Linked DNA regions of Drosophila melanogaster. The protein of the gene in region 2 interacts with the protein of the main gene of each other region in a pairwise test. Each region holds a gene or a part of one and is shown on either strand. Other genes may lie near its edges. The genes, in order: CG14969, CG14269, CG30184 and Ugalt.

Region 1 (8,270 bases), on a different chromosome or scaffold from region 2:
GGAGCAGGATTACTCCCGATCGGGCCAGAGAGTCTATCAGCAGAGGAACAACTTCAACCGCCAGCCATACAACCAGGACGACGACTACTTCTCCGGCGAATATCTGCCCAATGTGAGTGCCGGCAGTGTGGAGGCCAAACCAGCGCGACTGGAGCTGGCGGAGGAGAAGGAAGACGAGCGACCTACCCAGATAATCAAGCACGAGCACAAGATTCACTTGCCGCCCTCGCAGCACAACATTTACCTGGGACGCACCAGCCAAACGCCCCTCAAGGAGCGAAGGATCCAGGAGGTGCCCGCCCAGGTGACCGAGATAAAGCCCTACCTCAGGAACCACGTTGGACCCACTGTGTTGTATTCAAAGTCACAAACTCCCAGGACGTACTACAGCCAGCCATCCCGGCAGCGCGTTGCCGAGGAGCTGGACTACAGTGCTCCCTACTCCCAGATGAGATTCAGCCCCGACAACCACTCCTCCAGACTCGTCCAGTCGCCCCAGGTGCGATACAGTACGGAGAGCCAGTCCTCGCGGCTGGTTGAGGCACCCAAACCAGAGGAGCAGAAGCAGGAGCCAAAGAAGGAGCAGCAAAACACCCACATCCAAATCCAGATAGCCAGTGACCAGGAGAAGTCTGCAGTGGTGGCCACCACTATTGCTCCGGACTGCGACAGGGGACAGCAGAGAGCAGAGCTGCGGCAGCAGAAGTCCCAGCGCCTGGTGGAAGCACCCAGTTCCGAGGTATCCGCCACCCAGGCTACTCCGTCCCAATCGAAGCCCCAGCCGGATGTGGACGTCTCGCTTAATGGAGCCGCTGGCCATCTGAAACCCAACGAGAGGGTCATCGCAGCAACAGCCGCGCCAACAGATGCCTCCGCCACCAGCGAGACCTTCCACAAGCGCCGCATCGTTGTCAATCATCCATTCCAGACGGTACGCGAAGTGGTCGAGCACGAGCCCTTCACCAACTACCATCAGATTCAGGTGAACGAGCCGGCTCCGCCCTCGCACTACCACCAGGCCTACTACCAACCGGCGCTGCAGACCCACGGGAGTTTGGTCCATTTCCAGACCTCGTCCGCCCATGGCAATCTATACGGATAAGGAATTAGGATTAGGGAAGGATCCGAAGTCGACCAACGAACGAACCCGGCCAATGCACTTCCTCTGCTAATCGTTATCTTAGTGTTAGGCTAGATGCTAAACTTATCATGTACGCAAATCCGGTGGAAGGGCCCTTTCCATGATGACATGACCCTGATCTTCTTTCGCATTAATTTGTTATAAACGCGTAGGCTTAAGTGCAGTTTTACTTGCCAACAATAAAGTGCATATATAATGCTAAAAATGATTTTCTCGTCTTGATTTGCCATGTATATATATATAATATATCACATATGTATATGGCTATACAATTGTTATATAAGTGTTTTGTTTTTGGTTAGGCTCAAGGCAATATATAGTTATATATGAGAAGCATAGAAGATAATAAAATTCGAAAATCCTTGAAATGCTTTGAGCTTTGCTTCTCTAGTTTCTTCAAATTTAAAAAACATTCTTCTTACGCTGATATCGAAGGTTCCTCTAATGAACGCTTTTGATTTTGTTACGCGCGTTTGGGCTTTTCAAGAGGCTCATCGTCACTGGAGTAGTCGGATGCGGGACTGTGAGCAACCTTTTTCCCCCTAGGAGGTTCTTCATCACTGGACTCGTCCAACAGGTGTGTTCCAGCACCGATCAATACATTGGCGATCTTTTCTGTTCGGGCGGAGATTGCAACAGGATCCTCTGTTGAAGTGGACAGCACGGCAGCCGTGATAAGCGTCGACGTGGAGGGCGCGTCCAGTTCAGGTTCTAAAATGCCAAAAATCAGAATATGGGCTTAACCAATGACGATCTTTCCTACCCTGCTCATTGAGCAAGCCATGATTGGCCTCCCGCCGCTTGGTCACTACAACTGCCGTAATATAGAAGGTGAAAATGGGCAGCAGGACAACTACGCCAACGGCGATGAGAAAATTGGTCAGCTTCACCTCGCGTTGACAGCATTTCAGCGTTTTCGACCAATTCAGACGAGTCCGGTTCATCTAAGCAAAAGTAAAGGTGTAAAAATAGGCAAATGTAAATATAAATTTTTAAACTTACATTGTCCTGCAGATCGAAGCACACACTTCCACCGACTTTCTTTTCCATGCTAAGGTAGAAATCATTTAGACTCACGTAATCATTTTTGCACTTGAAGCAAACTAAATCCGAACTAGCAGATTCTAAGCAATTTTGCAACTTTGTTGAGTTATCGCTGTATACAATCCAAAAATTATCCCTGAAGCAATCTGGAAAGTAGGAATAGATCAGTGATTCCCAAATGAACAAAGTACTGATGCACACTTTCGCAGTTGGCCTTTTGCCACAGGCTAGTTAGGATTCCTTGGGTGGTAGCCACTATATTGATCCTGTCCGAGTTCAGATAACGCTTGGAACAGTTGGCGTTCGCAATTAGGTTTCCGTAATCATTGGTGAGATTGCGGTAGAGATCGACGCAGCCCTCACACAAATTCACGGGCACTGATTTTGTGGTGGCGCAGTAGATGAACTTGCTCTGTGCATCGCCAAGATCGGCGAGCAATTTCTCGCAGGAATGTTTCTTCCCGGCCAGCAGCATGTTAAACTGTCCACTTAGAGTTAGGATAAGCCCCAAGAGTGCAATGTAACTCCGCATCTTTTGGTGTGCTTTGCTCTTCGCCTACTTGAACGAGATGAAGGAGGAAACCAGGAGGGCGAGAAGCCGGCGAATCCCCTGGTGCTTCTGTTTGTTGATACGGGTGCTCCCTTTTCGCACACCCAAGTTCTTCTATGAAATATATTCTTTCTGGAGAGGAGTGTCGGGTGAGTTGCTGTTGGCATTACTAACGAAACTCACATTCTTACCCTCTGCACACTAAACAATATCACAATTTAACAAATACTTTTATAAAATCATATATTTTTGTATTGTATTTCGGCTGGAGACATCATCCATCAATAGTTCTGCATGCATTCAGTTACCTGCACACCAAATTGTTGTCCAATTGCAATAGAAGCAATTATTTGGTGTAATTTATAAACAAAACAATAGCAATCATTTAGATGTCCAAAAATATCGGGCCTTTGACACTTCGACTTTTCTTAGTGAGGAATCGCTATGAAAGCGTGGAACATCTGGCAACGCTAAGAGGTTGGCGCGAATTTTCAAATTAACTTTTACAGTAATTGCCAGTTTTCTCACCGAAATTGTAATTGTAAAATCAATTGTCATTGATTTATTTTAATTCCCTAACCAAATTCCTCTTTTCCCCATTATGAAGATCAGCTGCTGTAAGTATCATATCAAAAATAGATCACGAAGTTTACTTTAAAATTGCACGTTTCATTTAGGCAACTGCTGATCAAACTCTGAGCATTGTTTATCATTTATTTGCGAAAAATCTGTAAACAACCCTTCACAATGAGTATATTTCAATGAAAGGAAGTTAAGTGTGTTACATAAATAGATGCAAAAAAAGCGGGGCAGTAGTAATGCTAAAATACATCGTTTTGGATATGAATGACCCAAAACAACCCCAACTTGGGGTTTTTCCATTATCAATCGAGTTCCGTATGATCAGTAAAATATATAAAAATTTTTATCCATAGATAAGAAAGGGTTGTCTATTTATTACTCCATGCACATGAATAGACTCTTCTTACATGTACATCTTTTTTTAGCATCCTTCGCACCAGCATTTTAGACTGGGGCTGCAGTGTCCACTGGTTCGCCCTTCCCTCTGGCAGATATCTACGCACTTCTTCCTGTGCCACACAGCACAGGAACCCCTATATCTTCCGGAAAGGCAGTCGGCATGTGATTCTTCCGCTCCCAGGAAAATTATCATCAAGACAGCGGACAGGACAATTAGGAACTTGATTTCCATAGTTTCGGTAGGAGGTCTGGTAACTTAGTAATTGTTGAAATGCAATCCTCAAGAAATTGATCGCTCTCAGCTCAGAATAAGCGCTTAAATACGTTCCGATCTGTAAGTTTTACACTCAGTACGACGACGCTGTGGTGAAATTTATCTCGTGGAGATAAAAATATTTACCCAGACTTTTCGGCTGCCTTTACAATTTCACCACGTGCCGAATATAACAATGCATTGATCTGAACAATAAATATTGGTTCTTGACTTGATTTTATTTTAAATAATTGTGAATGTTTAGGGAATTGAATTTTATGATTGATACATAATCATTCTGGGTCTATAGAAGTTGTCCAATTTCGGTAGAAATTCAGCATCCTTCGCACCAGCATTGCAGCCTGGCACTGCAGTGACCACTCACTCGTCCTCGTCCCTCCTCTCGGCAAACCCGCCTGCATGTCTCGTTGTCCCAGACGGCACAGGGACCTCTGTACCTTCCGGAAAGGCAGTCGGCATCGGCTTCCTTGGCGCCCAGGATGACCATCATCAGCAGAGCGAGGAAGGTGAACAGGAACTTGATTTGCATCATTTTCAGTAGTTTTCGTGGTGATTGTTTTCTTTGATGTACTAATCAATTCAGATTCGGATCGAATTTGTTTTCAAGTGCTTTCGACGAGCTTATATAGGGCTGGACTAGTCGATGTCGCTGCCAGCGTCGTTCGATTTTATTTATTGATACTACCTTTTGTCTGGATAAATATACAATACACACAATATAATTGTAAGAACGTCTCTCAATCTAGGTCCCATGAATGGTTCAAGGAAAAGCAAACAATAAATGGCGTAATGCACTTAATTATCACAACCAAAACAACAGGATAGTGATATTTGCTACTTTGTGCTTATTGCCTAAAGCACATATATTTTCGAATGCAATTCTATAAAGTTTAAATTCCAACGGAGAGCGCAAAATTCGATATAAGCATCGATAACTGCACCTAGAAGTGTGACCATGTTTCGCGAACCTCAAATACCATGACTTAATTTTCAAATTCCACTGAGAACCGGATCGGCTATTTTGAATAGCCAGTTTTTCTCTGATCGGCGATTTGACAAGACGTGCGCGCGGACTGAAAATTGGATCCCAAAACCGCTAACTGAAAAATAAATAAAGCCGTGCAAAAGAAATAAAAAGTAAAGAAACAACAAGCGGGCCAATAAGTAAAACGTAATCAGCGTTTCAATTCTCTCTTTTATTTGCGCTCTCGCTCTCTTAAGCCGCTCACATTGCACATTGTTGTTGTTATGCTCGTTGTAGTTTTTGTGCTAATTAGAAAATACCATTGTTGTTGCTTTTGCGCCGGTGTTTAAAACGCGGCTATTTCTAATTACTGCCCCAAAACAGAAATGAAAACAAAAAAAGAACAATAGAAAAAACCCACTAATCTGGTTTTTGCGTGTGAAAGCAACTGGTGTGCATTGGAATTTGTTATTAAGGTCGAAGAGCAGCAACAAGTGACAAAAATTCTTTGGCATAAATTAAAACAGAATCCCCAAAAAGCGCTGAAAAACGTTAAGATTTCTTCGGTTTTAACACTTTTTCGGCTTGTTTTTGTAACCAAAACCAAAGAACGCCGCTTATGGTCGAACAACAAAAACAACTTTCCGGTTTTTCTCCCACTTCTGCTCCCCATCCTCCTCCATTCCTTCTCCTCCTCCTGTTCGCGTTCTCTTGTTTTTTATAACCATCTTCGTCTGCATCTTTCGATTTTCACTCTGTGCGTGTGTGTGCCTGTTTGTGTGCGTGAATAAGAAAAGTGGGAAGAGTGGCGAAAGGAAGAGAAAGATCGTAGTGAAAACAGTCGGCGAAAAAACAAATAAATACGGGAATTTATGTTAATTGCAGCAGCTAAGAACGAGAACGGAAAGAAGTAGCTGCGAAGCAGGAGGCATCCAGATATCCAGAAATCTGGAGAATAAATATAATTTCTTGTGCGCCAGGATACTAACGTAAATCATTCACGCTGGATTTGGGATACTACGAGGCTGTCAAAGGTAAGCGAAGTACAAAAACCGGAATGAAAGAGAGAAGATCGTTAAAAAAAATATGGGATGTTTTACGGTCCGATGCTCCACTTTATAAGCCAATAAACCCGGCGCAAGGTGTTGCATAACATCGCTGCGGCTCCCAAAATGTAAACGGTAAAGGGCACTCCCGATCCCGGGCCGATCTTCCATTTAATACCACCTATCCACTTCCACTGTGGTCAAGTTGCGTGCGAACGGGTCGTAAAAACTGCCAGGCTGTCATATACAGACATACAGTCTAGTCTGGCTTGGAGGACCTCACTTAGCTGAAAATAGCTTAACAAGATATTAAGTATTCATAAAGTGTAACTACGAACGTGTGAGTTCCAATCTATAACTATTTCTTGTTGTAAGATCAAGTGGTTCTCAAAGCTTCTTCAAGATTCTAAAGCTTATAAAGTCTTATTTTCAAATCTTAATTAATTGCAAATCCTTACTACAAATGAGACTTCCTAGAGCGTCTCAGTTGTGGAGGCTTGCCTGTTGTTCTGCTGTGAATTAGCATAACGAGGGTACGGTGCATGGGGATTCCCTCCCCCTTTTCCCTCCGCCCGCTCTCGTTGGGCACAGGTGTCTCTAAACCAGGCTCTCTTTTTTTCTGGGCTGTGCTGGCCATTCGTAAACTAGGCTAAATAGGGTCTAAGCCCAAGCACGTTTTGGCCCCGCCCTCTTGCCGCTCCTCACCCGTTTTGGCCGTCTCGCTCTGGGCTTGGTTTATTTTTAAACCGCATTCCGCTCGTTTAGAGGCTGTCTCGCTCTGGCTGGTTGCCTGCTCGCTCGCTCATTAGGCATGCTGCAGCACCGTTAAGCGTGAAAGTTTGAGAGCCACTGGCTGCGCACCGTGATTTGCAAAGTGCAATGGCAATAAATGCATTCGCAAGACAATTGCCGCTTAAATTCAATTACACTCAACGGGTCAGCCAAGAGGCCAACGACTATCAACAAGGCCAAGGCATGGCGTCGTATGGAGTGGGGTGGTGGTGTGGGGGGTGTGTGCATCGCAGAGGCGGGGGGAAAAGCCAACGCCCCCAATGCAGCAGCCCATTTGCATACATTTGCGGCCAGCTCGATAATAACACATTAAATGTTGTCTTGTAATGATTAAATTAGTTCAATGGAATCTTAACAAAGTGGTGTTATAATAACATAACATTTAACATGGCATTTAACCTCTTTACGAAGGCATTGCAACAAAGAGTTTAATTATTAAAGTGTAGTTGTTTTTATATGTTATGCGTTACAGCGATTTGTTGAACGTTAACTCTATTTGGAACCAAAGTAATTAAAATGAACAACTAAAGGCTCTAAACTTACCACCCCGAGTGTTTCTGTTTGTAAACAGACGCCGATCTCTGCAGGAAAAGTGCAACAACAGCAAAAGACAGCAGTCGTACAGTGGCTGTCAAACTGGCAACGATATAAGTAGAATTCCTATTGGAGTGGAGACCCAGTTGGTCCATTTTTCAATTCTTTTTACATTCCCCTCGAAAAAAGACCCAAGCACAACCAAATGACTGCACATGGACTTGTTTATATCTTTGCTCTTTGTTGTTGTTTTTTCCAATTAGATGTCTGCACTGCAGCTGGGCGGTGTTGTTCTTGTTGCTGTGGCCGTGCTCTTATTGGAGTTTTTAAGGCGGCATTCTTTTGGATTTTGCGCAATTTGCGCGCTGTACTTTTCGTTTCAATCGATTCCATTTCAAGTGACTACTTTCCCCTTTTTGACCAGTGTAAACTGTGCATAATCCCCATTCAAAATCAGCCAAAAAGTCAATCAATCAATCACCGCTTTATTTCCGAACCACACCGCCTACCCATCAATCAAAGGCCATAAAGCAAATTTAGAACGACTTTTTGTGATTTTACGAAATAGGTCTTATCGCTATGTCAGCATTATGAGGCGGGTACAGTCAAAATTGGTAAAAAGAAACTCTGTTTTAGCTGTAAATTGTATTGTTGCCTTTGTATTCATTTTGTTTTTAAACAATCAAATACTCAAATTATACTGATTCACTTGCAATGCATAAAACAGTTTTAATATGCATGCATTAGGCAATCCCATCTGTAGTTTTTTGAACTGCGGTCACTTTCGAGTGGTTATGAAATCAAAGGGACTGAATCATAGAGATAAAACAATTGCTCGACTGCAAGTGATTGGGAGGAGTTGTAATTGTAATTACCCCTAAATTAAATGAAAGGCCGCCGGAGTTAATGGCAATTGACTTGCTGAACTCGATTCCTCAGAGGAG
Region 2 (7,011 bases):
TGCTAATTTTTAAGAGTATTTTGATCTGTGCTCTCTCATTTCTTAGCTGGAAATCAACGTTCAAGGATCAAAACGTATAGAACGCATATCACAACAACTTGGGTCCAAAGATCTCGAGAAAATGTGATTCATTGGCGCGCTGTGTTACAAGTTGATTCGAATTTCTTAGAACCATTTCGAGTTGTTTTGTTCTGTTGCGGATATCTGATTCATCGTTCTATGCAGCAAAATATTAGCGTATATGTAGATATCATTCGGATATTTACAATTCCATAGAAATATGCCTGTTATGCCTACGGATTAATAGGAAATAGTTTGGACTTAAACTAAAAGTTCAAGTTGTAACGCAGCTTATGTATGAATAAAGAATGAATGTGGTAAATGAATTATGGCCATTATCGGATCTATTTAACCGATTGCCGGCCCAGAAAGTACAATGCATCATCGAATCGGTCAAGTTAGTTGACCCACATCATTCGCTGCATTGCCATTCCATTCACAATTCACAAAACCATCTAAAGTATATATCGTGCGTATATATATCCACAGTATGGTTGCCCCATTCCACTTGCAATTGCCGGCTTGTCGGCATCGTCGTGATCGGACAATCAATTTAGCTGCATTCGTCGGTAGTTCTGCGAATCGAGTGATTCACTCGGGTATATATGTATGTATATAGTGTAGTAGTATATTATGTCGTTCACATCATTCATACGAATGCAGGTCTAGTTTTTTTTTTGCTCTCTCCCACGCCATCGTAGTATCTGAAATGAATGTGTCTGAGTTTGAGTCACTTCGGCTGTAACGGGTTTTTTTTAGCACAGCGAGAAAATATTGCTACTACGCTGGATTTGAAAAGATGCAATAAAATGTTTTCGTTATTGGGCAAATCCCCTACTACTGCATTATATACTGTAATTGAAGTTTTCTAAAATTCAGATCACTTTCGCTCAATGCAGCTGCCAAATCATTTCGCAATGATATTGATTTTGCCAGTGCAAATAGAGCTGTGATTTCTGAGCCGCGTTTTTTTTGTTTTTTTTTTTTGTGTACGCACAATATTTGAACGGCGACGCCTTTCGTGGTAATTTAAATCATTTTGTGTACACAGTTTGTTAAGATTCGTAAACAAATCACGTCAAACAAAAAATGCGCAAGCGCAGCTTTTTTTGAATTTCGCGCCGTCGCCCAAAGCACATGCATACGGATAAAGATGCAGATACGGATCGAGTGCGTATATATATATATATATATATATATATATATATATATATATATATGTATATATATAGGGCGATATGTATGGTACATACATACATAACGAAAGATGTCGGTGGCGTTGGCGTCGACCCGCACCGTTGACCGTTTCTTTTTGAACACATTGGCTGGCGCATTCATTAAAGATACATGTGGCGGCAAGTAGGCATATTCAATTTACGCTCATTTGGATTTTGGTATCATAACATGCTCTGAGTATTAACTTTAACTTTTGGGATTGCAATTTGAGGACATTCCAATTCTACTGCTCATTTCTGGCTAGCATCTTTGGTACACTGTTTACAAAAAAAAAAAAACTTTATCTTCGAGGGTATGTCTGGTGCGTATCTCTGGGCCATTTCATTTTGTGGCCTCTGTGTTCCATTTCGCATTCATTAGCTGTATTTCGCATTCGCACTCTTTCCGTCTCTCCAATGTCCGCATTCATTTTGCATGCATCGTTTTTTTTTTTTTTTTTGTTTTTGCTTAACGTATTTTTGCCTTTTTCTTTTCTTTTTTTTTTTTTAATAAACACGCCAATACAACTACGCAAAAGCTGCCGGCAAAAATAAAATGAGAAAAATAAGAGGAGACATTCGCCAATGCCGGCCGGCTTTTTTAACCGACTGAGTCACTCGCTCTGCAGGTTTTTGAACTTGCGCAGTCACATTCGGTGTACAATATTCGTCTCGATGCAATAATATTCTTGGCTTCTATGTTCTTATTGAATTTGTGCGAATTTTGTGATTGGTTTTTTTTGTTGCATTTTTGTAAAAATGGATGTCTGTTGAATACAGCTAGTCCCTTGAAATGCAAATGACGACATGATTAGCGCCAAAGGGGGGGTATATAACCGATCTCCGATCTCCGAACGCTCAGAGCCATCATAAAAACCTGGCAACGGGGTCCCGCAACTGGCAATTAATTAAAATGCATAAATTATTAACCATTCGCCGAGTTCGCAGCTCTTTTCCGCTGTTTTTTGTTGTTTGGTTTTAATGGCCCCGGTATTTTAGCATTTAGCCTACGAGATTGACGCGTCCCGGCTCCCAAAAGTAGGCCACATTTATTTGGTCATGTCCTTGACTCGCTCCCGGAAATACAGACATATGTATTTCCCGGTTCTTATCAACTGGTTGGGATATTATTTTAAATGAATTTTTGATTTTTGCTGGAAGAACAAAATCCATTTATGATCATGCATCTTGGTATTTAAGTGTATATATTAAGAGCACGTCCATCTTAACTCAAGCCTTGTTTTTTCATTTTTTTTTTTTTGGTTTTGAATGGGGATCAGCTCATTTGGCTCATTTGGCGCTCGCCGCTGACGTTGTAAATTGAAGCTAAAATGTTATCCACAGCTGGATCTCTCTGGATCTTTGGATGATGGAGATCGTGTGCTGGCGCTGGCGACAAAAAGGGGCAGACAAAAGAGAGATGTAGACACTTAAGTTTTTTGGTCGTGCTGCGAATGTGACAAAACAATTAATGTTTATTTTTGCATTTTAATTTGCCAACATTAATTGCAAGTTTATTGAGCTGAAAGCCAACGAACCTAACCGCTGGCCTTGAATGCGGATAGGTTATATTCTGGGAGGTCTATTGGTCTTCATTTCGCCGAAAGGGTCATCGTCATCAGTAGGACAAACATGGAGTGGGCCAGTAGGGTGAATTCGGCACCTAATCCCTTCCAGTAGTAGTCGAGAAAAGCGGAACCGTATCGAGCACCAAAAGCGATGGCAGCCAAGATGCCGTACATATTATTCGACTCGTTGACGCCCAAAAAGAGCATGGACACAACGTTGCCCAACAGTGTTAGTTCCTTAAGGGTCTCCGTTACGGTATCCTCGGTGTCAACCACTTTGGCCAACATATCGTAGACTAATGGCACCACAAAACATGTGTGCGCCAAAGCCAAGCCCGGATTGGTGGACTTCAGATACAGCTCCATATTGGTCAGGGGCAGCGGTACTATCTCCATGATGCCCGACGTAATCAATCGCACCCGATTGCATTCGTCATCGTCGTTGCTCGCCGCTCGCACCATTCCCAAAATTCCATGGACCAGGCTCAAGGCCGCTGTTGCATAGCCATAGGGTGTTTCCATTGGATGGAGAGTGTAGATCGCATAGCCGGAACTGACCACCAATAGGCTGTTAAACAATGCGTCCATGACCAGCATAACTAGTTTTCAATTCAATTAGTGCGTTCAAATCTGTTACTCTTCAACTGACCCTTCTGACATAGTTTGTCCCCTCTGATTTTCGATTTTCGATTTTCGAGAGCGACGAAACGAACGAAAAATTTTGAGCTAGTCAACTCGCTTTTAGCCCATTTGACAGAAGTGGCAAAGCTAACCTAACAGCCTGCTAAAAACTTAAGAATCAGCTTGAAGTCATAAGCTATAATGGCTAGATCGCCTAAGATGTCAGTATGATAAGTACATACATAAATATATGGTCTAGTCGGAGCTCTTGCTCGCTCGTCTTCAATGGGCTCGCTGGGATGCGATGAACCAGACCGGTCAACTTCTCATCTGGCTGAGCACAGAGCAGCGAGCACCTAGCCCAATGTCCCCGTTGATTTATGGCATCAAGGGTGGGCAGCTTAATCCGCTCGCATCCACCTGCAATCCACCTGCCGGCGGCAGATGGCTCAAAGTCTCGTGACTCCGGGCCCAAAGTCCAAAGACTTAGGGCCCCAGACGATTGAAAACGGACCGGGGACCACAACCACAAGCTCGCTTTAATTATTAATTTAAATCGCACCGTTTATATGATAAAGACACTGGGACGTGCCGTTGAGCATTAGTGCATGTTGCAAGTGAAGTGGCAAGTGCAACAGCCGAGCCAGGAGCGGATCAGGGGCCAAGTTGCAAGTTCTATCTGTAAAGAGCAATCATTTTGTTTGTTCAATTGCAATTATCAACTTTACTTGTTTTACTTCTATTCTATTTCTATTGATTTGATCATAAAATTCTCACAATCATAACGCTTGAGAATATAAAGTATATATAGTTTTGAAGATATCGGTAGCCCGATTCGCTGAACCGCTCCTCATTTCAACTACACTGAGTGGCGTGACGAAAGTTGTTGCTCGAGTGCCTCCCCCTTTGCAAAACTCGCCGCTGACCCCGGCTACGCCCCTTTTTGGGCCCCCACCTCTGTTCGCACAGACAATATATACATATATATATATATATACATATGACCAGTATGAAGTCTGCAGGCGAGCTCTGCAAGCGTAAAAATATAAAAAGTGCCGCAAGTGCAACAAGTGAAATATGAAAATACGAAAAAAAAAGCCAGAAGTGCAAGTGCAGGCAACTCGGCTCAGACACTCAATTCATAATTAATCAGGCTCTTTTTTCCACTTTCTGTGGCAAGCTTAACACTTCCCCTGGCCACACTGAGCAAAAAAAAAAAACAGTTACATTCGAGTAAAGTATGCAGTGTTGTATAGGGCCTTTTAAATCTGCTTTTTTGCCTTTTGACATTTTCCCTTCGTTACGAATACTGCTCAATGTTGGGAAATTAGAGTCCCGTTTTTTCTAGCAGTGCAGAGACAACCCTCGACCCTCGACGGACTTTCCTGACTGTACGTATGAATACTGCTCAATGTTGGGAAATTAGAGTCCCGTTTTTTCTAGCAGTGCAGAGACAACCCTCGACCCTCGACGGACTTTCCTGACTGTACGCCAAGGTTGAGCGAACATTCGTGATCCGGATCTGGCGGGGAATAGACCGTACCATAAGCAGGCCAGACCATCGCAAAGACGCTCTCCGCAGATTGCAGCTGGCTTTGAGCCCGACTTTTTGGGTTCCGTTCTGGGCCAGTTTACTTTTCACTTGCGGACTTTTTGTGGCTCGTGTGGCAGCCAAGGCGCAAAGGCCTATTGATTTATGGCCAACTCGGCGCCCCGGCTAATCAGCGGCATTTGCATGCAGATCGCAAGTGGATTTTTGGCCAAAATGTTTAATGAGGAACGCACCGAAGACAAAAAAGAAAAAAAAAAAACAGAAAAAAACCTGCGTGGCCAAATATTTTCCGGCTAACAAAACCATACAAAATTGAAACGGGCCAAACAAAAAATCGACAAATGCAAATGAATAGTGAAGTCGAGTAGTAAATACTCTTCTTTTTGTGTCATTATCATTACATAATAATGATCTAATTGCCTTAACAGTTGGGCAATATAATCTTCAACATTCACAAAGACTAGTGAAAATTCGTAGGTATAATTTGTAAATTGCCAAGAATTCTACGAGTTTGTAATCGTCGCAACACAGATACTCCTTTTAATTAGAGTATCTGCAAAGGAGACGCCTCGACCAAATTGATCGCGGCAGTCCACAAAAAAAAAAAAGTGCGTGAGCGATGCGCAAATATTTGGCCGGAGTTTTTGGAAGTGAAATAAATGAAATGAGTTGCGTTTGGGGCTCTCGAGCTGCTTGAAATGCGCGCCAGAAACCCTACGCACTTCATAAATTATTTAACAGCTGCCCTGGCCAATTTCTTGGGCGCTTTTCGAGTTGCTTCCATGTGGGTCTCGTTGATGGTTCAAGGGGGTTTGCGAGGTGCGGTGGCCAGCGGAAGGGGACCAATTTTAATTGCCGGCTACACGACAATGACAACACACCACCGCACGCACTTTTTGGAGGCCGATCATCGAGTCAGAAATCAGAAATCAAGACCCAAAAAAAAAAAAAAAAAATGTGAGCCGCAGCAGCGAATCAGAAATGTGCGAATTTTTGACAAGTGCAAACCGAAGTCGAGGCATGTACAACATGGCTTTGTACACGATTGTCGCCCCGCCTGATTTATGGCCAAGTGGCCCGGACAAGTTTCCAGATCTAAGCGATCCGTGATTCATATACAACATACAGATTGCCTCATTCGGGTGCTGGGATGGGATAATGGGTTTGCCAAGGGAAACACTTACGATAAATACAAAACACTTTTGCGGCCACCAAAAAAAAAAAAAAAAGAAAAAAAGAAGTGTGTCCAAAAAAGCTGAAGATCGACGCTATCAGATGGAATGAATAATTGTGTTAACAGGCTGGTGTAATAATAATGTGACAGGAAATGGTTAATTAATACGTACTAAATTGGCAATGGCAATTGAGTTGGTCATTGGAGCTTTTGGCATTAGTTGAATAATGAAATAGTTGTTCCAAATTGTAGAATGAAATGATTTATTATGAATATTGCAATGAATACAACCATTCCAACCAATTATTTTTTGATCGACTCAATTCATTTAAGTGTATCGTTCGGATTTCTTTCATGTTTGCAGTGATTAAGAATGTTTAATTGACAAAAAAAAAAAGAAAGAACTCTTTCATTTAAATGTCAAGTAGAGCCGGAATCATCCAATGCAAATAATAGAACTGGTTCAAACACACTTCCAAAAATTGTGTGCTTTTGATCGTAATTCATGCTACCTACCAAATATAGTTCTTCATTTCGAACGAGAAGAACATCGTTTCTTGTCAAATTAATCATTCGACTGCTGGAGTAGCATCTTTAATTCAATTCAGTTCCGCATCCCAAATTGGCAGGGGGTGTGGAATCGCCACGATCTTTCGATAAATAGCGCCAGTTCCGAGATCAAAATAAACCGAACAATAAGATAGGTTTCAATTGTGTGAGCATGTGTGTTAGGCTAATTGCACCAAATGCGGATGTGTTTCACTATCAGAAAAAATAAATAAAAAAAAATCCAGCATTTTTTTTGGGGGCATTCTTTTCGCA
Region 3 (7,084 bases), on a different chromosome or scaffold from region 2:
TAGCATACGAATGTATCTCGCAGATACAGATACGAGTAGACCACAGTAGGCACATACCTTTGCGGCATACTTAACGCACTCGAGTGACAATAATTGAATTCATTATGGGCAGGGGGAAAAAAAAAGTTGGCGGAGCCCAGAAACGAAAAACCAAAAACTGGCAACTGGCAACTGGCCGACTAAAAACGAGATGAGATGAAGGGCGCGGGGCGTGGGAGTAGTGGGAGTACTAGGATTAACAATGGCGGGTAATTAACCTGATAGATCCACTGGCCTTGGGAGACCAAAAGCGACTCGAGAGAGTCAGTCACCAATCGGCGATTCTGTTACCATTTTTATTTGGGCTACGTGCGGGTTTTACTTATTAGCCGCCTAATTACCATATAGTCATACCACATAGTAGCCGCTTCTTAGCCATAAAGCGGTCGTTCTGGTCCGCTTTCTAGCCATGATCTTCGTGCAAGTTAAGTTTTCGCAAACCCAGCGACCAGAAGAAGATACACAAACGGGAAAATCTTTATCAGCGCGGAGGTCAACAAACCGCGGATATCGCTCAAGTCGCTCCCTCCCCCTCCCTCATCACATAAACCTATATATATATATATATATACATATATAGCTGCCTTATCAGATAATTGAGCCAAAGGTAAGCAGAGTGCGCTATGTTAGCCGTCTGTGACTCAAAAGCCATAAACTTGGCACTCGGCCTACGGTAATTTCAGGCACCATAAAAGTCCGTTCGCAGCCCGTTTTGATTTTGCCTGGACTATTCAATAATGGTTTTTAGCTTCAGATAATATATACTTACTTATAAACTTAAAATAATACCTTTCTTTAATGACTTGAAACCGAACTAAACATAATTATCATTAAATTTACACACGAATAACATTTGTGAACTCACCATAAAAAAATGTGAATTATGTGTGCGATTGATCAAATGTATTATGCATTTGCATTTTTGGCTTTCTTCTGTTCAAATTTATTCGCGAGCCTTTTGAATAAGTCTCAATTCATTCAAAGTACGGGCACGTGCATTATTTATTTAATTTGCGCAAATTTTGCACATATTCGCAAATCAAACGCCGAATAAAACCGCACAAAGCAACGAACAGAGGCAGATCGGAGTATCTACGTAAACCGCAGGCATCGAAAGGCTAAAAACTATAAACTGATAACTAAAATCCCAGACGGATGGCCAAAACGGAGAGCCAAGCCGAAGGCGTCGCAAAGTGCACTGAAATTGAAATTGAGAGTGGAATCGGGCGATCGAGGAGTATATGGAATATATGGAATCGGGCAGAGTCTCACATAAATAATGAGTGCGCCCACATACATAAGCAAGCATACAAGCATACACTCGCAGAAAAGACGGCTTATTAAACAAATGTCTCAGTGGCTGCTCCTAATGTTTTTTCGTGCTTGGAACCCTTGTGGCGACCAAGTTCTCGCCCATTGGAGGCAAATTTGCTGACAATTGCAAGAGATTTTTCTTTTTATTTTCTCGGCTTTCCCAGCTATTTTGTTTTTGCCCTCGCCTCGCATTTCGCCCAACTTCTGTGGGGTGCGGGTTGGGGAGGGATGGGGTATTCTTGGGCTGCACTTGGTGGCACTTGGTGGTGCGGGAAGTTGGAAGGTAGTCTTATTTCAATTTACAACCAAGTGACGAAGTATCACAATTCAATGTTTAAAGTTTTTATCACGTTGTGGACAACAACAACTGTAGCGAAAACACAGCGCCACACTCCAACAAAACTAATGCGAACAGTGGAGCCTCATAATGGACTAATCCGTATCGAATGTAATCTTAAAACATTTCAATTTTAACCGCCACTTGTAAGTATGCAACACCAAAGGTAGATCCTACAGACACAATATTGTCAGGCTAGCAAGGCTTCACTGTACTTGCTTGCCGGCTGGCAGGCGAATACAAACAAACAAATGGAGCAACTGCAGCTAACTGCCAGGCGACAGATGCGGGCAGATGCGAGGGGCAGGACGGAGGCAGGAGGCAGGAACGAGGGGATAGGGAGCCCCACATACTGGGGCATGGGCATGGGCATGGGCAGTATGCAAAGCCTTCCCCCTTTTGGCACCGCGCAATATGGTTAATATGGCGCGACATTTCGTCCGCCGCCGTTCGCTCAGCTCGTTCGCTTAGTCAGCCCGCTGCGCTCGATGCTCGCGGGGCTATCCGCAGGGGCAGGGGGAGGGGTAGTGGGGAGTATGGGGGGCACTAAATGTTTAGTAACCAACTGAAATAGTAGCACTCGTGTTAGTATCGGTTCATGAAAAACGAACGGCAGCGAAATAGAATTGAACGAAAAATAAATGAGAGCCACTTCGGTTTACACAGAGTTTCGCATGTAGCTACACGACTTGCACTTGGATTTGAATATGAATGCGCCACAGACGGGGTCAGCATTATAGGGCCATCATATAGTAACCACATTGGGTTTGAACAATGGAGTAGAAGCACAAATACTAAGTTGTTGAATCTGAAATACGCTAGTAACAATCATATTTCAAGTATGTTCCTATACCATTTCGCCTAGTTGGCTGACCCCAGCTGTATCTGCATGATCAGGGGCGTGGCCAGAGGGGTGGCGGTGGAAAGTGGTAGCAAACGTCGTCAGCGTAAACTGATTACCACCGGACAATCTATGGAGCTGAACTAGCGGCACGTACACAGCGTTTTTGGGGCCAAAACCCGAGATGGGGGCTTACGGGGCTCCGGTGCTACGATGGGAACCTTCGTTTAGGGAGTTGGGTTCGTCGACGGCCCGAAAAGTTCCAGCTAAAAGCGACTGCACATAGGAAGTCGGAGTTAAGACTTCAATTACAATGGTGCACCACCCATGGGTCGATTGTGAAATTATAGACGAACCACCTTTGGGTTCCACGAATCCGAAATGAGGCGAAACGAAAAGAGTGCGCCAAAAGCCAAAAGCGATTACCAATTAATGGAACGTGCTGCCAGCTAAGATTCAACCACAATTACTACTATTTCCATATGATAAGTTCAACAAACAATGACAATTCTGCATGCATTGACTTCAAGTAAGTTAGCTAACTTACATATGTATGTATGAATCACCTATTTTTGCTCTAATTATCTCAGCCTTTGTATCTCATCGTAACGAACTCATCACCATAACGATTAATCTTATTCACTCAATCGACTCGGAAACTCGCCGTTTTATCGTTATCACCAGCCGGCTAAATTGTTGCGAAACATAGTTGAAATTCCGAGACTTTGGGCCCAACACCCACCGCAAACTGCACGTAGTGAAATTTAGCTGCCAACTAAACCAAACATGCTGCGATCTAGAAAATGTATCTTTCAGATGCACACGCTTTCCACACACACCCACACAACCCCAAGTGCGCACACATAACTCCAGCTTGGCATTCCAACTGACTTTGCACACCGAATGGAACACGTGCTGCATTTGGACCGGCTCGAAGGACCACGACCGGGGAATTGGGGCTAGCAGCGGAGGGCGGAGGGAGTGGATTGGGGCTGGGCCGCCTGGTGGTTCGGTGGCTCGATGGCTTGCAGCCACAGACAATAACAAAGGCCAAGTTGAGTGCAGTTGGCAGCGGTGAGTCATGCTCGCTCGCTCGCTCGCCAGTAGCACACCCACCCACTCACTCGCACTCGCAGCTGCAGTGGGCTCTCTTCGGGAAGAGTGGCATGTGGCATAGTGCTCCCGATAAGAGATTCCTGTTGCTGCTGCTACTATACAACATTGCACAGATCGAGTGAATTGTAAAGGCGAAAACGGGAAATGATGATTACACACTCAGTTTTCCGCCTCTTCCAAAGTCAGAATGGAAATTGGGAAAGTCCTAGAAATTGGAATTTCTTGAAGGGAAGAATTCCAATCTTCAGAGTTAGCCAAGGCCCACTGTGCCTTTCGTTTTGGCACGGCGTCTAAGTGTTCATATGCACATGGCCGCGAGTGTGCTAGTCCCGTTTTTTTTCGTTTTTTTTCGTTTGTTTGTGTTGCCTCGGGCGGCAACTTTAGTGGCAACGGCTAACTTTTAGCAAAAGTTTTAGCAACGAGTACCTGCAACTAACTAAAACCACAGGCACACAGACCCAGAGCTCGAGCGCCGCCCGCAGAAGTTTCCACCACGCATCGAACTATGAAAATCGGAAAAGTTTGCAGACAGAAATTTCCAGCCATGCATCCGCACAATGGCGAAGTGGACGACGCAGTGCGTTCCCCCCGCAACTCACCGCACCGTTCGCCATCGTCATTAAAGCTGGACTCCTCCGCAGGCTTAAACCAATGCAAAAATCCACAAAATCGACACAATTCCGGCAAAAGTAACGAAAATCACACGCGGCGCGCCAAACAAACTTCCAAGAACCAAAGGAACTGTAAACGAACAGCTGTCAAAGTGCGCGCGCTCCAAGAGACGGGGCTGTTATGCGGCGAACAGCTGATGGCGCCAGGGCTGCACAGCAGCGGGCTTTCAAAAGGCACAACTACAGTGAGCACACGAGCAGGTGAACGTTAATATTTAATTACTTGAGCTATTTGAAAACCTCCGAGTTCCTAATCCGCTCCTCCTCCCTCTCCTTGGCATCCGAGTCCGACTCGGAGGACGAGACCTGCCGCTTCCGGCCGGAATGCTCCGATGGCTGGGCGCTGGTCAGCATCCTGGCGGCGATGCGCCGAAAGAACCAGAAGCGACTGAGATAGGCCTCCGCGCCCCGGCTGATGAAGTACAGCTGCAGTGGTCGCTTGCTCCGCTGTGGATGCATCTTCTGATTCGCCCGACTGCGTGAGTGGGAGAACATGAGATCCAGAGCGAAGGTGCAGTGCATCAGATAAATGGCGCCGGCGTACAGAGCCACAATGGCGTTGTCCCGACAGCACGCATAGAAGCTGGGCCAGCGCTCAGTGCGGAACTCCTCCAAAGTGGCCACATACATGTTGGCGTACACGGTGACCATGTGCAGGCCACCCAAGATCCCACCGAACAGCGCCTCGTGCTTCATCGTCGGCCGCTCGGCGTAGAAAGCTCCAATCAGTGATATGAAGCATATGATCACCGAGCCGCCGTACGTTCCGCACAGCAGGAAGATGTGCGGCACACCCTCCTCCATGAAGCAGGTCCAATGGACGAGGCAGCAGCCCAGGCTCAGCAGCAGCTCCATCATCTTGAACAGGAACCAAACGGGCTTCTTGGAGCGCACCTGCATGTTTGCCCGATTAAATGGTTATACTACAATTGTGACAAGATATATAGTATATGTGGATACATTTGGTTCCGCACAACGGACTTTTAGCTACAGGCCACCTACGACTAAAGCAAACTTACGACTAGGATTTAAAGGATAAATAATATTAATAAGTATTGATAAGTATAAGGTATTAATCTAATGTACACTTTTGATGTTAAACAACTCAGCTGAACCGAACTAGGATTACTCGCTCCTCCCACAATTTCTTGTGCAAGCAATGTCCTCTACTTCCGCCAGTATTGGGTGAACCGATGAATCTGCTCCACCAGAGCCGGCATCACCGCCGTAATGGACACGTCCAGGAGGCTCTGCAAGTGCTGCACTGCCTCCTCGTCTGTGAGGCCCAGCTGCAGGTTCTCCTCCACCTTCTTGACCGCCTTGTCGGGCTCGAGAGCGATATCCGGCACAGTGGCGTCCACCATCAGAGAGAACAGGTTGAGCATCACGTTGGCATGCCGCCGCAAGTGCAGGTACGCCGTGTAGCACTGCTTGCGGAACTCGTGGTGATGCTCGGAGCTGATGCCGCCCATGGCCTCCACCATTTCCTTGCTCAGCTTCATTGGCGGCGGCATGGGCTTGGGATCGCGTCCCAGAATGTAGCCGAAATCGATGTGGAAGAGCTTGCCGTTGGTGGTCAGCAAGAGGTTGTCCAAGTGCCGGTCGCCCACACCTGCGAGGAAATTCCAAGGATTAGCGGAATCCACCTGGTTACACTCCTTTAGTCTCACCCAGCAAATAGGTGATCACACAGTAGCCCGCGCAGCTCTTGATGTAGGTGTCCATGACCTCCGCCGAAATGCCGTAGGGTCCATTGTCGCACGGATGATGCTTGCGGAAGAAGTTGTGGATGTTGCCCTCCCGCGCCAGCACCTCCGCCACGGTGCAGGAGTCGACGTACTGGAGGAAGCCGTGCTTGGAGCTGGTGGCCAGCACTTTGTAGGGAGTCAGCTTCAGGTCGAGGTTCTCGCGCCTCAGCAGCTTGTCCATCAAAGTTATCATCTGCAGGATGAGCTGATCCTGGCGCAGATCATCACCGTGCTTGAAAATGGCCGCGTACTCGTGATGGGCAATCGAAGTGACAAAGGTGAGCCTGCGAATAGGATTAAGGATTAGGATTGAAGTATTCAGTGAGTGAGTAGAGTTTGTTGGTTGGTCATGGCGTACTTGGCTGGCATCAGGGCGCTCTTGAAGAGCGATGTGCGCATGGGCACGATCTTGGTGATGTAGATCTCCGGATCCAGGGGAAACGGAATGGGCTCGAAGTTGGTGAAGTTCACCTTGAACATGTCCTGTTCGGCCAACAGTTTCTGGAACTTCTCAGTCTTCTTATTGCGATTTCCCGGCTCCTTGGCCACCAGTTTCACCAGTTTGACCAGCTCGTCGATGAAGCGCCGCTGCTTCCGGAGGTTGTAGAAGATGCCTCTCAGGTTGAAGTTGCCTGTGCGGATGAGCGGATTAGAGAATTAGGGAATTAGAGAATGAGCCATGATTTCGTTAAATTACACCCACCGTTCTCTAGCACCTTCAGAAACATCTTGAGCACCATGGCGTACATGTCGTGGGCCCTCTCGTCCTGCTTCCTCACCGACTCCACTTCCTCCACCTCGATGGACAAGTACCAGTAGAAGTAGTTGGCCAGCGTGGCGTTCGTGCAAGCGCGCTGGATCAGGAATGTGCAGAGATTGGCTGGAACACTGCCGAAGCTGATGCCCTCGGCCAGCATTAGGGCATTGGAGTTTGAGTCGCAGGGCAACGAGCTGCTGCCCGGAGTGGCGGGAGCAGAGGGGTTTGGCAGCGCAACCGATCCCTGACCACCACTGCCAC
Region 4 (9,074 bases), 730 kb from region 2:
CTGCGCGTCTTCGAACTCGTGATGTCCCTGCAGACTCAATCCAATGACGTTGGCCTCGCCTGGCTAGATTAGCGTCCCCACCCACCTCCTTAGCACCTAATGTCATGTACCACACTTAATTTAAATCAATACTCTCTTCTGTAGCCATCGCAACCGCATCACTTCGCAGCCAATAAAGCTTATATTAAGTCTTCTGGCGGATGGCTAAGATTTTGCTTTAGTTTTAAAAATGTTCCGTAATCCCACACTCGCAAATGCACATACTTTTGAATGGTATCTGCTGAATTTGCAACACGTTATGATTTTTATTAAGGTGTTTTTTTTTTTTAAGGGTAGAGGCAAAGGTTTACTCTTTTATAGATGAACTAAAGTTCTTCAGTTAAGAGGAAACCTTCCTTGGCCAATAAAGCAAAAAACTGACCCCAAAACCTTTGTTGTGCTTTTACTTATCGTGGGTTGAAAGTTGTTATTACTTTTTGATGGAGTAAAATACGCCTTTTATTCGTCTAATATTTATTCAAAGGAAATGAAACATATCGATATGGAATCACTCTTAAAACACTGTGCGAGTAATGCGACTTTAGTTCAAATACAAATATATAAGTCTGGGCTGGCTCAACCTAGGATTTCTCAAAAATAAAGTAATTGGCAATGAATAAATAATGCACATTCAAGTAAATATATATACATATATATGATCTTCTAAAAAAAAAATTCGAACAAAAGTAGTTGTGGCTGTGAATTGGCCGAACATCAAGTGTAACTTGAAAACTATAAATCGTTACAAATCTTAGTCTAAACTTGAGTGCAAGTGGATATTTACAAAAGGATAGGCACGGTATGTGTGGTGTTGTCCAGTAAATACTGCTGGCATTCCTCAGCATTCGCAAAGTAACAATTAAAATGATCAATAAAACGTGCATTCAAGCTGCATCATTTCATTAACTACACTTTAGTTTCGCTAGTGAATACCCTAAATACATTTAAATTACATAAATCATTAAGTATTCTTATCGCTGCTTTACATTACAATTATCGTCTCAACAGAAAGTGCTACGAATTGTCCAGACGTTAATATCCATCCTAATATATATACACACAAAACGTGGGGAATATCAAGGACACCGGATGCACCGGATACACCAGAGCAATTACCGAACGGCGGCCTCCGGGTTACGGACAAATACTGTTGGCAGATCCGGATTCCTCCAGAGCTAGACGCGCGGCAGCAGCTTCTCCTCATCGCCGCCAGGACCATGCATAGTTGGCTTCGGCGCCGACCTGGCCGGATCGTAGCCGTAGAGAAATATGGAGGCGATGACCAGGCCAGCTCCGAAGCTGAACTGCAGCGTGAGATTGAAGTCGAAGATGTATATGGAGGCCACGCACGAGATGATGATGGCCAGCGAGGTGGCGAAGCCCTTGAGAATGTTATCCGCGTACTTGACCACCACGGCAACGATCAATCCACCGCCGGCCTGCAGCAGGACCAGGTACCAGACAAACAGATCGTAGCCCTTGAAGAATCCCTGGTCGAAGATCCTACTGCCGTCGTTAACGAAACAGGTGAGCAGGCCGAAGGGAATGCTGAGCAGACTCAACTGCACATTCCGCATCCACACGGAGATCTCGGCACCCTTGAGGATCTTCTCAAAGTAGATGCCCGCGAATCCGGAGAGGAAGCAGGCGCCCAGTGCGGCCCACAGTCCGAGCATCCTGTTCTGCTCGGGAGCACCGCCAGAGGAGGCGGCCGTGGCTGCAGCTGCGGCACCACCGGCTGAGCCACTCGTCGGACCCTCCGTTTGGGCCAACTGCACCAGGACGATGCCCATCACCAGGAGCAGCAGCGCACCCCACTGCGTGTTCAGCAGCTTGCGGCGCAGAATGACAACCGCGAACATGGCCGTGGTGAGAATCTTCAGCTGGTACGTCACCTGGTAGGTGGCCGCATCCAAATGGGAGGCAGAGACGTACAGCAGATTGTTTTGAACGATATAGACCAGCGAGGGGACGCACACCTTCAGCGTGTCCATGGGATTCGCAATGATGGTCTTGTGCAGCGAGCGTACAAACTTCTGGGCATCCTTGCCCTCCTCGTTGAAGACCAGGAACAGGCACGTGATCAGTTTGGCGAACTCTGCCATGAGTACGGCTGCGAAAGAGGGCGCAAAATGGCAATCAATCAATCAAATATATGTACATATATACTAATAAGTCCAAGTATCGCTGTTCGGGTTTTCAAATAAGTCCGGTTAACTTACACACAGAGTCACCAAAGCAATAACCAAAGTTTAATGGCAAAATGTAAACCCATATGTAATTCAAGAATGCCAACCAAACCTCCTTGAGCTATCGCGGTAGAAGTTCCCCAACAGTTTTATCAAGCTATTAGGAGCTAAATGCGGAAGTGGCTGCTTATCAGTTTCTTTGGCAGCTTCACATCTACCCGAACGACCATTCCCCGCCTGCCACTGCTCCTACACCACCTTCACCTCCACCTCTTCGACTCGTTTGCTTTTACTGCTGATGTTGCTGCTTGCGTGGACAGACCCACGTCGAGGTTTCGTGGAAGTGGCTCTGGGCAACGAGGTGAATCTGCTAAGCGGTGAACCGGCTTGACCTGCTGAGCCCGACGACCTGTTGGACTTTTGGATAAGCACTCACCCGTGGAGCTGAGGAAGATGTCGCCTGGCCGGGTGCGGGCGTAGCGCATGCTGAGGCCCAGGATGGCATTCTGCAGGGTCAGCGTCAGCAGGCTGATGTACTTCAGCGTATTGGCGTTCACTGTGCGATGGGAATAGGAATACGTGACGGGGGCGGGCAGGAGCGCCATGTCAGTACCGCTGGAGTAACGCCACCGCACTAAAGGCCAAATACTCACTGTGTATGCTATTCATGGTGCTACGCTTCTAGCTCTATTGTCTCAACTCCAAAACCAAATAGAAACCGAAGGCAAACAAAACGCCGTAGTTGGGGGTACACAAAGACTCCGTTCCTGGCCAAGATCAGTTGTCGGCGGGCCGTTCCGTTTGGCAGTTCGTTCCCTTCAAGTTGGCCAGAAAAGCAGAAGAGCGCAAATGAAGACGACTCCACTGGACCGGGCGACACGTAAACAACAATCAGAGCCCGAAGCTTCTGCCAGCGGCGGCTTTTTATCGCCGCCTATGTGGTTGTTGTTGCTGCGCGCCAGGGACGTGGTCCTGGGCTTGCAACGGGGGTCATAAATGCGAAACCTTCTTAATTGAATGCAAACAAAATTTAAAAGTGCATTGTGCATTTCAGTAAAGTAAATACACCTTACATATGCTCCTGGGGGATGGATCCCCATTTTAAAGCAAGCTACGCCCATGGCGTGCAGCTTTTGTTGCTATTTTCGCAGCAGAGACCGACTTTTCGATAGTCACAGTGCTGGCATTGTGGCGGAACTCGCGAAAAAAGAAGTTGCTTGCAAAAAAAGCTAGATATACAATAATCGGGCATTGAGATTGCTTAAATTAATGTATATATTATGACTTTAAAATTAAAATTAAAATTTAACAAGAGAGCATGGGGATCGAAAGTAGAAAACAAGAAAACTCATGGACGAAATACATAAATACATATTGTGCATGCTTGTTCTACATGCACATGTATGTTAAATTTTTAAGCCCAGCGAAATTTATTTTTGCCGCACTAGGTTGGCTATTTACTCAGCTGCCGTTGAAAATACGTCATGAAAGCCAGTATATGCAGACAATTAAAATAAACATAAAACATCAAATTAAGCCAGTGAATGATGAACAACCTGTTGGCGGCACCTGATAATTGCGATGCATCAAATTTACAATACAACATTACAAATATATTGCCATTTGGGGGGATTAAATAAATTAATTTAATCAAATGCAATAAATGAAAACATTAATAATTTCCGTGTTGATTTTAAATCTTTTACTTTTTTGAGTTCATCACTAGAATTCGCTTTCGCCTGCCGCCTATCGATAACATTGCTCGGTGTGGCGATTTCGTAAATAGTTTTCTAACTGAATAATGGTAACAGTTGGCCACTTTAGTTGATAATTCATAATTGCAAAGACCAGAGACGCCAGGACACGATGAAGGAACAGCCGCTAAAGGAGATCACACAGCTCATCCACGCCATCAAAGTGGGGTAAGTCGTCGGTTGGCAGGCACTGCGATTCATTTGGTTGTTAAAGTGGCATATGTTTTGCAGGCTGGTGGAGGGATCCTACAACATAACCAACAAGACGCTGGACATCTTCAAGTACATCATCATGAGCAAGAGCTGGCAGAACGCCGAGTGAGTTGCAAGGGATGGCACACCAAGGATAACACATTAACTGATAAACAACTCCCCCTCATTTGACAGTGCTCTCATGCAGATTGTGCGCGACCAGTGTAAGATCCTGCAGGCAGCTCTGCCCCAGGAGACGGTTACCTCGAACATTGCCAGGCGGATCCTCAAGCTGACTCGCGAGGAGTTCGATCTGTTGCACGCCAAGGTGCAACACTTCGCGGACGACTCACAGGCCTCGCTGTCGCTTCACAAGCTAGTCACGCAGACCAGCGAGAGCAACGTCAGCGTAGATTACTCGGTGCCCCAGCATGGATTGCGGGAAGCGCTGCTCGACCACCTGCAGGAGGTGGAAACGGAGCTGGAGACCAGTTCGGAGAACATCTGCGTCCAGGCCGAGGAGCACATCCATTCGTCGGAGATCATCTTGACACTGGGACACTCGCGCAGCGTCGAGAATTTCCTCAAAAGGGCGATCAAAAAGCGTCAGTTTCTCACCATCATCGTAGCCGAATGTGCGCCAGCCTGCCGGGTTAGTTGGGTCTCTTTATGGGACGACAGTATTTGTGGGGTGTAAGAAAATGCTCTTATGTTGCTTAACAACTGCCTATGTCTTTTACAGGGTCACAATTTGGCCGCCAGCTTGGCCAACGAGAAGAATGTGGAGATTGTTGTGATCCCAGATGCGGCCATCTTCGCTATGATGTCGCGCGTCAACAAGGTAATAATCGGTACGCACAGCGTGCTGGCTAATGGAGGACTCAGAGCGGCGTGTGGAGCGTATACAGTGGCCCTGGCCGCCAAGCATTACTCCGTGCCGGTCATTGTACTGGCGCCCATGTACAAACTCTCACCATTGCATCTGTGCGAGCAGGACGCCTTCAATATGGTCGGCTGTGCGGAGGATGTGATACCCTACGATTCGATTCCAGCGCGCGAAGCCAAGGTATACAGTCCCATGTTCGACTACGTGCCTCCGGAACTGGTCACCCTTTTCATATCCAACACGTAAGTAGTGCGCTTATCGGCCTTTCGACTCTTTTTTATTGCATTTATTGGATTCTTTTTTTACTTAGCGGTGGCCATGCCCCCTCGTATGTGTACCGCCTCCTTACGGAACTGTATCATCCCGAAGATTTGGAGATTTGAAATCGTGTTTGTCTCGTTGTTTTAGCAATTCTACCAATAAAGTCTACAGTAAAGTAGCAAGCCCATTTCGATTTGGATTGATTTAAATGCATCAATTTCGTAGACATTTATAAACTTTAAAATTCAACAATAATTATATCGAATAAGCAATAACGGTGGATCGGTTTTCGATTTAAGAACATTACTACTTTATCTTGGGTTGATATAGTTAATTTCAGGTAGCACGTTTCTCGTAATTTCCCTGCGGCACACGATCCTCAACCTATTTTTGAATATTTTCAAGCAGCTGCGTGAAGTCGGCCAGGCTATCGGCATAGTAATCCGGCTGCGCTTCCACCGGGGCGTTCAGCATGTCCTCCTTTGTTAGGCAGCCGCTAAGTACCAGCAGGGACTGGAAGCCGCAGGCCTTGCCGAACTGCACATCCTGCACCAGTGTGTCCCCGATGAAGATGCAGCGCTTGCAATCACGAATCTCGAACATTTCGCCAAACATTTCGCCCAAAATGGGAGACGGCTTGCCCAGAAACGTGGCCTCGCGTTGCGTGTAGCGTTTAACGTGCTCCAGGAAGTCAAAGAACCCGGCCACATTGAGATTCTCCGCCAGTGGCATGATGACATCGCTGCCGCCGGCTATCAACTGGCAGTCGTCATTCTCCTGAAGGTGCCTAATGGCCTTCGCCAGCTCCACGTACGAGAGGTCCAAGTGGATGTCGAATAGCACAGCGCCCACGGGCTTTTCAATGGCCAGGTGATCCACCAGCGACGCGGCCGTCAGGTGCTCCTTGACTTGCTGAAGGAGAATGATATGAAATTTAATAGTCACACGGAAGCTCTTGAACTAAATATATTGTATATATATATTTATAAGTAATAACCTTCCCCTTACCAGCGATTCAAACTCGATGTTGTGCTTACGTAACGTTTCGTTCGCTTCGAGGGACATGAGGGAGTATACCCGCTCCCCCGGCTTGTGCTTCTTCAGGTACCGGACAATGGTCTTCACCGGATGAACGATGTCGTCCTCCTGGACGTTCTTGGCGCCGATGTGGCGAAACTTCTCCATGTAATCCTCCTCGGACCGGAAGCTGTTGTTCGACACGAACTTGATCTGCTTGCCGGCCGCTTTCAAGGCATTGACGGCGGCTCCCGTGTTGGGAATCCAGCCCACCAGGAGCCAGACGACGCCATCGCAGTCGCTGATCACCAAATCGAAGGAATCGATGAACTGCCGCTGCTCCTCGAGGCTGAGCTTCAAAATGTGTCGTGGTGGCGACATGGTAATGTTGGTTTTTTGGCTTACAGGAACGAATTGGATGCTGGTTGCGCGCGCACGGAAATTCCACAGCCGACTAACCGCCTTTGCCGGCATTTAACCTTCAATGTCAACGCATTGACATTGTTCCCCCGGTTCCTCGAACCCGAACCCAACCACCCCTCGCCCATACAACCCTATGCCTACGTACATATGTGCTAAGTATCTTTTATTACACGATTTAGCGAACCCGAGCGGAGTGGCTCGTCCGATAAGATTCCGTATGTAAATATAAGATCTTCTGTGTGGAACGCGGCATGAAAGACTCGTGCGATTTGTTGTCTATTTCACATTCCCATCTGCCGGACAGAGCGGATAGCAGTCCGGAAAATACATACATACATATGTATCTCATTTGCTTCCTAGTTCGGATTTACAATCAAGCGTACGCGTGATTATACCAAGTTTATCTTAAGGAACAACTTATAAAATGAGTCTGCTGCATTCGTCAAATTTTGGTTATTCATGCTTTTGACTGTCATTTGAATTTACCGGATATAATTTAGAACCATATAGATTATCGAACTAGTTCCACTGCCAAATGTGACTGAAATATATTGGTCTCGAAATAATTGACAGCCTTATTATTGAATTCAATTCTATGCAATCAAAGCGAAACCACAAACCCAAAATGGCTGTAAAGAAAAATTTAATTAAATTTCAAAGGCTTTTGGCATGCTATAAATATTATATGTATTTTGCGATTCACATGCTTCCTTTTCTTCCTTTCAATTGCATTTCTTACAAATCCTCTGCGATACACGTGATTGAAGGCGATTGACATACATACATATGTATGTATGTAAGTATTGATCGGTGGTGCATCGGCCTTTTGTTGCTGCTGTTGTTCGCTCAAGCTTATAACAGGCAGGCACAAACGTGTACAGTGAACACTCGAGGAAACATGTATGAGCACGCTTTCCTCAGTTCGAAAAGCAAAGGTACAGTTGACGCATGGAGAAACTAATAAGTATGATGACAATTGCGAAAGTTCAGCAGCGTAGACAACAGAATGCCTGTCGCCCTACGGAGGTCCCACTGTGCTGGGCCGTAGACCCTGGCCACACATGTCAACACCTTGACATTGATGGCTGCGGCATTTGGCCAACGGAAGCGGAGAGGGGGAAATGGAAAAGCCGCCGGAACGGAGGAAACCACAAATGGCCAATAATTCAAATTCAAATGCAACATTTCAATTGGCGGGGTCCGGAAGACGCTCGTGTCCATGTCCGCGTCCGCGGCGGTGAAGGCAAAAGAACTGGCCAACGGGGCGGGTACTTGATGTGCGAGCGCGTGTGAGTCGCGTCGCTTGGGGTTCGGCTGCGTTTTTGGTTTGGTTTGGTTTGGTTTGGTTGGTTTTGGCTGCGGCTTTTTGGTATATCGCATCACAAGTCCAAATCGATTGCCGGGCCAGCTAGTTTAGTTAGGCGTCTCCCTGATAAGATACGAAAGTACGAGTTGCGAACGCTTGCGAAGAATTCCGCCAGAAGAAAAGCACATTCGGCCACCTGAGCTTGGAGCAACTGTTCCCGGCGGTTATACAACCAGACGACAACTAGTCAAAAACTAAGGAAAATTGCCGAAAATGTCTACCCTGGCCAATGGTGGAAAGGAGGAGGATCTAAAAATTCTGGCTCAGCTGAAGAGCATCGAACAGATCAACGAGCAGCGCCGCATATTTCTCAACAGCACGATCAATGAGGAGGTGCCGGAGGCCACAAACGGATCGACGGTTCGGGAGGAGGACCTGGAGAAGAATCTGAAGGCCATAGACGAGCCGCAGTCTACGAAGATGCCCCCGGAGGAGGTGGCGAAGAAAACGCCTGATGAGGTCCCAGCCCAGGAGCAGCAGAAGGAACCCGAAAAGGTGGAGCCAGCCAAACCAGTGCCCCCCAACACGCTCACCCTGAACGTGAAATACGCCACGCTGCCAAGTCCGAATGTGGTGACCCTGCGATCCCCACTTTCGCCGCCCCCTAAGCCGCCAATGCTGGGCCGCACCCGCAGTACAGGTCCCGCCGATGGCAAGGGTCCAGCGAGCAATGGAGCTCTCTCGCCGGACAGCTCCATAATCCGTCAGAGCTTTCCCGAAGGCGTCATCACGCCCAGCAAGCCGGAAAAGAGCCCTGCCACGCCCAGCGAGGAAGGCCCGCCGACCGTCTCCGCCCGCCACTACGAGGGACTGATCGAGGAGCTGAGGTGTCCCGGCTGTGCCGGCGCCATGAAGGCGCCCATCCTTCTGTGCAAGAGTGGCCACAGTGTCTGTGAACAGTGCACCCGCATTTTGCTCATGTGCCCGCTCTGCAAGGTAAAAATTGA

The links.
Region 1: the proteins of CG14269 (region 2) and CG14969 interact in a two-hybrid assay, tested with the Drosophila melanogaster proteins (one large-scale study listed by BioGRID).
Region 3: the proteins of CG14269 (region 2) and CG30184 interact in a two-hybrid assay, tested with the Drosophila melanogaster proteins (one large-scale study listed by BioGRID).
Region 4: the proteins of CG14269 (region 2) and Ugalt interact in a two-hybrid assay, tested with the Drosophila melanogaster proteins (one large-scale study listed by BioGRID).

Annotation. Positions count from the first base shown.
Region 1 is NT_037436.4:3,331,841-3,340,110, forward strand, and holds CG14969 (uncharacterized protein), read right to left. Parts: upstream 3,139-8,270; 5' UTR 2,927-3,138; intron 2,868-2,926; 5' UTR 2,718-2,867; coding exon 2,387-2,717; intron 2,332-2,386; coding exon 2,144-2,331; intron 2,086-2,143; coding exon 1,905-2,085; intron 1,853-1,904; coding exon 1,605-1,852; 3' UTR 1,279-1,604; downstream 1-1,278. Other genes in the region: CG14961 (uncharacterized protein), read left to right, coding at 1-1,102; Drsl1 (Drosomycin-like 1), read right to left, coding at 3,739-3,948; Drsl6 (Drosomycin-like 6), read right to left, coding at 4,304-4,522.
Region 2 is NC_004354.4:3,432,222-3,439,232, forward strand, and holds CG14269 (uncharacterized protein), read right to left. Parts: upstream 3,587-7,011; 5' UTR 3,492-3,586; exon of another isoform or gene 3,442-3,491; 5' UTR 3,440-3,441; coding exon 2,867-3,439; 3' UTR 2,722-2,866; downstream 1-2,721.
Region 3 is NT_033778.4:23,562,213-23,569,296, reverse strand, and holds CG30184 (uncharacterized protein), read right to left. Parts: upstream 5,325-7,084; 5' UTR 5,219-5,324; coding exon 4,547-5,218; 3' UTR 4,517-4,546; downstream 1-4,516. Other genes in the region: Pi3K59F (phosphatidylinositol 3-kinase 59F), read right to left, coding at 5,485-5,930, 5,989-6,350, 6,425-6,698, 6,770-7,084.
Region 4 is NC_004354.4:2,700,624-2,709,697, forward strand, and holds Ugalt (UDP-galactose transporter), read right to left. Parts: upstream 3,123-9,074; 5' UTR 2,898-3,122; coding exon of another isoform or gene 2,882-2,897; 5' UTR 2,834-2,881; coding exon 2,665-2,833; intron 2,153-2,664; coding exon 1,215-2,152; 3' UTR 501-1,214; downstream 1-500. Other genes in the region: Lint-O (L(3)mbt interactor in ovarian somatic cells), read left to right, coding at 1-72; eIF2Bbeta (eukaryotic translation initiation factor 2B subunit beta), read left to right, coding at 4,095-4,150, 4,214-4,300, 4,370-4,826, 4,917-5,302, 5,371-5,443; CG2680 (uncharacterized protein), read right to left, coding at 5,706-6,233, 6,330-6,719; CG2681 (uncharacterized protein), read left to right, coding at 8,341-9,063.